2 linked regions of the Saccharomyces cerevisiae S288C genome follow. The gene in region 1 interacts genetically with each later gene. Each region holds a gene or a part of one and is shown in the gene's direction. Other genes may lie near its edges.

Region 1 (3,755 bases):
AACCACCAACGGCCAGACCAAAGGTTATACCGGAGACGAAACGTGCAATTTGTTTACCAACGTCAGCGACTTGGATAGCTAACTCACGAGTGGGCAATAGAACAATAACTCTGGTGGAAGCGATTTTGGCTGGTTTATACAACAAACGCTCGATTATGGGAATCATAAACGCAGCAGTCTTACCGGAACCAGTCACAGCACCGGCAATGATGTCTTTACCCAATAAGGCAATGGGGATTGTGGCGCTTTGAATAGGGGAAGGCTTGACGTAACCCAAACTTGCAAGGCCCTTAAGAACCGGACGAGATAAAGACAAACTGTTGAAATTTTCGTACATTTGCTTTTTAGCTTCATCTCCCTCAGTTTCAGGCGCATAGAAATCGGCTTTTGCCTCTTCAGAATCGTCTTCTTCATCTATTTCGTCATCTTTGCCGCCTTTTTCTAACGTCATCTCTTCTTGTTCCTCCTCTTCCTCCTCTTCCTCTTCCTTTTCCTCCTCTTCTTCTTCTTCTTCTGACTGATTTTCGTCTCCATTGTTCATGGGAGCTCCCATACCGAACCCGTCCATTGCTAATTCCTCATCGTCGCTATCGTTTTCTTTTTCTACTTTTTCTTTCTCGGTTTCTTCTTCTTGTTTACTATCAATATGGGCCATTTTCACCAGCCCACCTTTTCTTCTAATAATCTTATCCAAGTCAACGTCCTTCTTCACAAAAGCTTCGGCATCGTCCTTATTGGACTCGCCCTCTGCTAGAAAGTTCCAGCCTTGGAAGTTCGAAGTGGTATCATCGGCGTCCAAATCAAACTTAAACCCCGCGTCCAAGTCCTCATGAACATCCTCATCGAGGTTATCCCCCTCACTAACCTTTTTCTTGTTATTCTTACCCTTCCGCTTCTTCGTAGTCTTCTTAGCCTCGACTTTTTCGTCATCAGAAGAATCTAGAATTGGAACATCGTCTTCACTGTCACTGATTGTAGGGACAAAGTCCAAATTAGAGTATTTTTTAGTTCCTACCACCATAGTATATATATAAGACGCTGTTGTAGGCACACAGCTCCAATTCGAAACCCAAGTTACCAACGTAAATACTCATACTATCTAAGCATATTCTAACTTACAATTTTCAACCTCATCTCATCGCATTTTTTGAAAATTTTTTTTCAAATCATTACCCGGATAATGTTATAACCCTACCTATCTCCTTCAAAAAAAGATAAAATGACGATATATAGCGGCGAATCAGAATCTAGTAACCACCTAACTACTTGTCTCTAGTACAACTAAACAAAATTTTAGTGTACACAATCAGATAACTACACAATCAATTATACCCAATGACTGAAACTGACAAGAAACAAGAACAAGAAAACCACGCGGAGTGCGAGGACAAACCTAAGCCATGTTGCGTTTGTAAGCCAGAAAAGGAGGAGCGGGATACATGCATCTTATTCAATGGACAAGACTCTGAAAAATGCAAGGAATTCATTGAAAAGTACAAAGAGTGCATGAAGGGTTATGGCTTCGAAGTTCCAAGTGCAAATTAGTCTTACTGACAGTCTGCCGACAACCATTTCTTGTATATATAAGAATAGGTATTCACAAACTATAGTATATACTACCTGTAAATATGTGCGATGCACAATTAACATTACCTCATCACTACTACACCACTTCTACTGCTAGCACTGTCCTCTTGTGCTTGGCCCCTTAAGAGTGTTCTAAGACCACGTGACCAGAAAAGGACGTATCACGTGACACAAACCTAATAACTTTTTTAGGAAACCCTAAGTCAGGGCACGCTTGCTTTGTTTCTTTTTTTTCTGGAAAGAACGGAAAAAAAAAAAAGTCTGGGATTAGTTAGTGTATATTAAGTGAAAAAGTATAGAAATAGGTGTCGAGAAGAAGTGCTCGTTGAACCATACTGCTCACAATACTCTTTCATTGAACTCTTTATTACGTTGTCGTCAAGTACAACTCCTTCCTTTATCGCCTGCCTAGCCTATAGTCTGCTCTCTTCGTGTCATTCCTTATAGCATAATCAATCGCACTTCCCCTTTCATTGTGCGTTTATCCAAGCTTTTTATTTGCCTACATTCGTGTTCGTAAGCTTTAACAACAATAAGTAGCAAAACAGTATGGGTTTCATATCGTCAATACTGTGCTGCTCTTCCGAGACGACACAATCCAATTCCAATTCTGCTTATCGCCAACAACAGAGCAGTTCTCTCAATAAAAACAGAAGCGTTAAACATTCCAACACGAAAAGCCGAACCCGTGGCGTACATCAGACAAACTCTCCTCCTTCTAAGACAAATTCAGCCGCTACTTTCAGTTCCACTGAACGATCCACCGGTAAATCTGGGATAAGCACGAACGATAATGAAAAAAAGAAGCCATCGTCGCCGACTGCAGCCGTCACCGCCACTACTACTAATAATATGACAAAAGTAGAGAAGCGAATTAGTAAAGATGATCTTTACGAGGAAAAATACGAGGTTGACGAAGATGAAGAGATCGACGATGAAGATAACCGTCGCAGTCGTGGCATTGTACAGGAAAAAGGAGATGCTGTGAAAGATACTTCCAGGCAGAAAAAACAACAGCAGCAACAACAACAACAGTCACAACCACAACCACAACCCCAGTCACAGTCACAGTCACAGTCGCAGTCGCAGTCGCAGCAGCGAGGGCCTACTGTACAAGTATCGTCTGACCATCTTATCCAAGATATGAATTTGAGTAGGGTAAGTAGCAGCTCTCAAGCCAGTGAAACTTCCAACGATGCCGACGACGAAGACGATGAAGATGAAGAATATATTGATCTAACGCTTTTGCAGCAGGGCCAGTATCATGCACCAGGTTACAACACTCTGCTCCCCCCACAAGATGAAAGTACAAAGGGCAAGAAATGCCTAATACTGGACCTGGATGAAACCTTGGTACACTCTTCTTTCAAATACTTACGATCTGCGGATTTTGTTTTGTCTGTGGAAATAGATGACCAAGTACACAATGTCTATGTCATTAAAAGACCTGGTGTGGAAGAATTTTTGGAAAGAGTCGGAAAATTATTCGAGGTTGTAGTCTTCACGGCTAGTGTCTCTCGATACGGTGATCCTTTGCTTGATATATTAGACACAGATAAAGTCATTCATCACAGATTATTCAGAGAGGCTTGCTATAACTATGAAGGAAACTATATAAAAAACTTATCCCAGATTGGAAGGCCGTTATCAGATATCATCATTCTCGATAACTCTCCGGCATCTTATATTTTTCATCCCCAACATGCAATACCGATTTCGTCCTGGTTCTCAGATACTCATGATAACGAATTATTAGATATTATTCCTCTTTTAGAAGACCTTTCTGTGAAAACCTCACTGGATGTGGGCAAAATTTTGGATGTAACAATATAATGAGCACTTTCGCCCGAATTTCTTGTGGCCCCCGCTACCAAAGAATGAAGATGAAGAAGATGAAGAAAAGAACCAGAGAACAAAAAGTTTTTTCTTTTTTTTTCTTTTTTTTTTTGGCTCAACACACTGTACCCATGCTGTCCCTTGACATTTTTTTTTTCAACTTCTTCTACCATTACGACACAATGTATTCATATATAAATTCATAATCTAATAAAATGGTAATTTTAATTTAACGGGACTGGCGTGAACATTTATCAAATACATGTGAATTAAAAATTAAAAAAATGCAAATATTGTACATATGTGTATATACAGACAACATAAAACAGAAT
Region 2 (3,755 bases), on another chromosome or scaffold:
TTTACGGACAACGAGGAGCTTCTTTCTTGTTTACCTTGATTACCCTTTAAGCAATAACAATATCAATACGAGATTTTCTGTAATGTTAGTGCCTGGTCGAGTTTACTGTATCGTCCAAGAAAACTACACTGCGTTAAATTCTTCCAAATGAGGCTATGATACGCCAAACACTTTTATTTTTCCCCTCCGTTTCTCTCGCTTTCGCTTCGAAAATTACATTATTTTCTTCCCCATGCAGCGTTATTTCCATCTTCAGAGAGGAAAGGCGGAGAAAATTTTTCTTGAGGAAGGAATTCTACGAAAGTAGTCAACTATATTACTAATCGTTTGACATAGAATGCCAAAGTTGCAGCTTTTCCACTAACGTCAAATTTGCGTAACAAGCGCTGCTGTGTAAACTGTCTTGCTTTTTAATAGGACTGACAAAAATTATAAGCGGAGAGATAATATTTAATACTGCCATTGACCTTAGTACCGGTACAGGACAATATGTTTGTATCCTTGGTGTCATAAAGAAGAGAAAAACAAGATAAGATCTCCACATTATTTTGCAGAAGGCGACTTTGGGGGCCGATGATATCTGCTTCCAGAAGTATGTAAAAAAATTACACACCATTAAGTTCTTATGTAAACCGAAGTCTGGAAGAGAGGTGGTGGAATTTCCAGTCTGCTACTAGGCAAAAAACTTGAAACACTTTCATATATGATGTTGTTTTGCCGAGCTATTACAAGACGATTTATCATAAACTACTTGCTTGAGCAGGAACGATTTCACAATCTGTTTAGCAGGTTGTTATGAAGTAGACACGATAAAGTTCTTGAAGAAAGATTGTGGATGGGTTTGCTGAAGCTTAGAACTAAGAAAAGAAACAAGCACGCGCAAGAAAACCGCTACGGCTAACTTCTAAGGTGAGGATATTGTGATTGTTTATGCCTCATATTTTGCGTTTTTATATGTTCTTCCTTCATACGGCGTGCAAATTATCCGCCGGCGAACAGGGTGCTATTCTAAAAGGAACTTTGAAACTGTAAACGCGGTGTACTGAAGGGGTCATCTGAACGAACAATATTTTATGCTTTTGTTAGCCAAACGGTACTGATAAGGGACTGTGAAAAAAAAAAGACAATGTATGGGGTTCACGGTTTCCCAGATTCGTGTGTGTGTAATAATTCGTTTACGGCGCACGACAGACACTTCAGGAAATTTAAAGATCAGAATAGGCATACACTCCGCGCAAGGAAAACAAAAGTTGCTACCGTAACCGGCTCGTACGGGGAAAGCAAGGTCATCTAGTGCTCACTTACGAACTGGCATAATCGAGTTGTGACTTCCAAACTTAACCGTACTCTCACAGCTGATGTGATCCGAAGAAAACCCTGAAGATACAACAATGGCAACCAAAGGCAACTTAAAAAGGCAAACGAAGTACTTTTCAACAATAGCTTACACTGAAACTCGCGGAGAGGCGACGCTGCGCGCGAATTATCAGTAAAAATCTCGTAACAACCCATCTGCCACTTTTAGAAGGAATGGAAATTCTCAAAAAATGACGGAAAATAATAGAACAGGGTTCCTAAACGATGCATTTCTAACAAGTAGGATAGTCCAAAAGGGAGGATGCAAATTCTTTGTTTTCCACGCAGTAAGATATGATCCCAAGCTTTCGAATATAAAAAGGGAAGGATCGCTAGGACAGATCAGTTTTTAGCCCGTTTACTTATCTCGTTCCCTACTCTTGTTCTGATAGAAACCAGCAACAAAAACCTATTCACTCGCTTATTAATACCATAAAAAATATGGCTTACTCTAAAATCACATTACTAGCCGCTCTTGCTGCTATTGCTTACGCTCAAACCCAAGCACAAATCAACGAATTGAACGTTGTTTTAGATGATGTTAAGACCAACATTGCCGACTACATCACCCTATCCTACACTCCAAATTCAGGTTTTTCCTTGGACCAAATGCCAGCTGGTATTATGGATATTGCTGCGCAATTGGTTGCAAATCCAAGTGATGACTCCTACACCACTTTGTACTCTGAAGTGGACTTTTCTGCTGTTGAGCATATGTTGACTATGGTCCCATGGTACTCTTCTAGACTGCTTCCAGAATTAGAAGCAATGGATGCTTCTCTAACTACCTCAAGTTCTGCTGCCACATCTTCAAGTGAAGTTGCTAGCTCTTCTATTGCTTCATCCACTAGCTCTTCTGTTGCACCATCCTCAAGTGAAGTTGTCAGCTCTTCCGTTGCACCATCCTCAAGTGAAGTTGTCAGCTCTTCCGTTGCACCATCCTCAAGTGAAGTTGTCAGCTCTTCCGTTGCTTCATCCTCAAGTGAAGTTGCCAGCTCCTCTGTTGCGCCATCCTCAAGTGAAGTTGTCAGCTCTTCCGTTGCTTCATCCTCAAGTGAAGTTGCCAGCTCCTCTGTTGCGCCATCCTCAAGTGAAGTTGTCAGCTCTTCCGTTGCACCATCCTCAAGTGAAGTTGTCAGCTCTTCCGTTGCTTCATCCTCAAGTGAAGTTGCCAGCTCCTCTGTTGCGCCATCCTCAAGTGAAGTTGTCAGCTCTTCCGTTGCTTCTTCTACAAGCGAAGCTACTAGTTCTTCTGCTGTCACATCTTCCTCCGCTGTTTCCTCTTCGACCGAGTCTGTTAGCTCTTCCTCTGTCAGTTCTTCCTCAGCCGTTTCCTCTTCTGAAGCTGTCAGTTCCTCTCCAGTTTCCTCAGTTGTTTCATCTTCGGCCGGACCTGCTAGCTCAAGCGTTGCTCCTTACAACTCAACCATTGCTAGCTCTTCTTCCACTGCCCAGACTTCTATCTCGACCATTGCTCCTTACAACTCCACAACCACCACCACCCCAGCTAGTTCTGCTTCCAGCGTTATTATCTCAACCAGAAACGGTACCACTGTTACTGAAACTGACAACACTCTTGTCACCAAAGAAACCACTGTCTGTGACTACTCTTCAACATCTGCCGTTCCAGCTTCCACCACCGGTTACAACAATTCTACTAAGGTTTCAACCGCTACTATCTGCAGTACATGCAAAGAAGGTACCTCTACTGCAACTGACTTCTCTACACTAAAGACTACAGTTACCGTATGTGACTCCGCCTGTCAAGCTAAGAAGTCTGCTACCGTTGTTAGCGTTCAATCTAAAACTACCGGTATCGTTGAACAAACCGAAAACGGTGCTGCCAAGGCTGTTATCGGTATGGGTGCCGGTGCTTTAGCTGCTGTTGCCGCCATGCTACTATGATTTTAGTACGTGTCGAAAATGTTCGTTCCGCTTATGATTATATTATTATTTCAACTTACCAGTTAATGCTTAACTTTTAAACTGTCATATGTACTTCTCTGTATTATATAAAAACTGACAACTGGCCTTTTCTATTGTTGATTTCTTTCATCCATCGTTAAATATTTTCAGAATGTGGGCAGGAAGACATGCATGTTTGAAGGTGCCTATCCTAGCATCATCATAAAAGAAAACGGTAAATCATTTCCGTTTTCAAAACGTACACTACAGCCTCCAGTTGATGAAATCAGTTCTCACAATAATTCGAGGTTTAAAAGAAACAGTAAAATTTAAAAAAAACTATTCAATAGATAAATTGGTATATACGAACATTAAAAATTCCATTTAAAAATGAGATTATAATAACATGGCGGCAGCGGCCATGACACCAGCACCCATACCGATGACAGCCTTGGCAGCACCGTTTTCAGTTTGTTCGGAAACAGTGCTAGTGG

The links.
Region 2: mutations in PSR1 (region 1) and TIR4 together harm fitness more than expected from each alone (negative genetic interaction), as found in Saccharomyces cerevisiae (2 studies listed by BioGRID).

The regions. Positions count from the first base shown.
Region 1 is NC_001144.5:128,995-132,749, reverse strand, and holds PSR1 (phosphatase), read left to right. Parts: upstream 1-2,136; coding exon 2,137-3,420; downstream 3,421-3,755. Other genes in the region: DRS1 (putative ATP-dependent RNA helicase), read right to left, coding at 1-1,021; copper metallochaperone COX17, read left to right, coding at 1,336-1,545. UniProt on the Saccharomyces cerevisiae protein: Has phosphatase activity in vitro. Involved in the response to sodium and lithium ion stress (but not to potassium or sorbitol stress) by inducing transcription of the sodium pump ENA1/PMR2.
Region 2 is NC_001147.6:342,538-346,292, forward strand, and holds TIR4 (Tir4p), read left to right. Parts: upstream 1-1,797; coding exon 1,798-3,261; downstream 3,262-3,755. Other genes in the region: YOR008C-A (uncharacterized protein), read right to left, coding at 320-544; TIR2 (putative GPI-anchored mannoprotein), read right to left, coding at 3,658-3,755. UniProt on the Saccharomyces cerevisiae protein: Component of the cell wall. Required for anaerobic growth.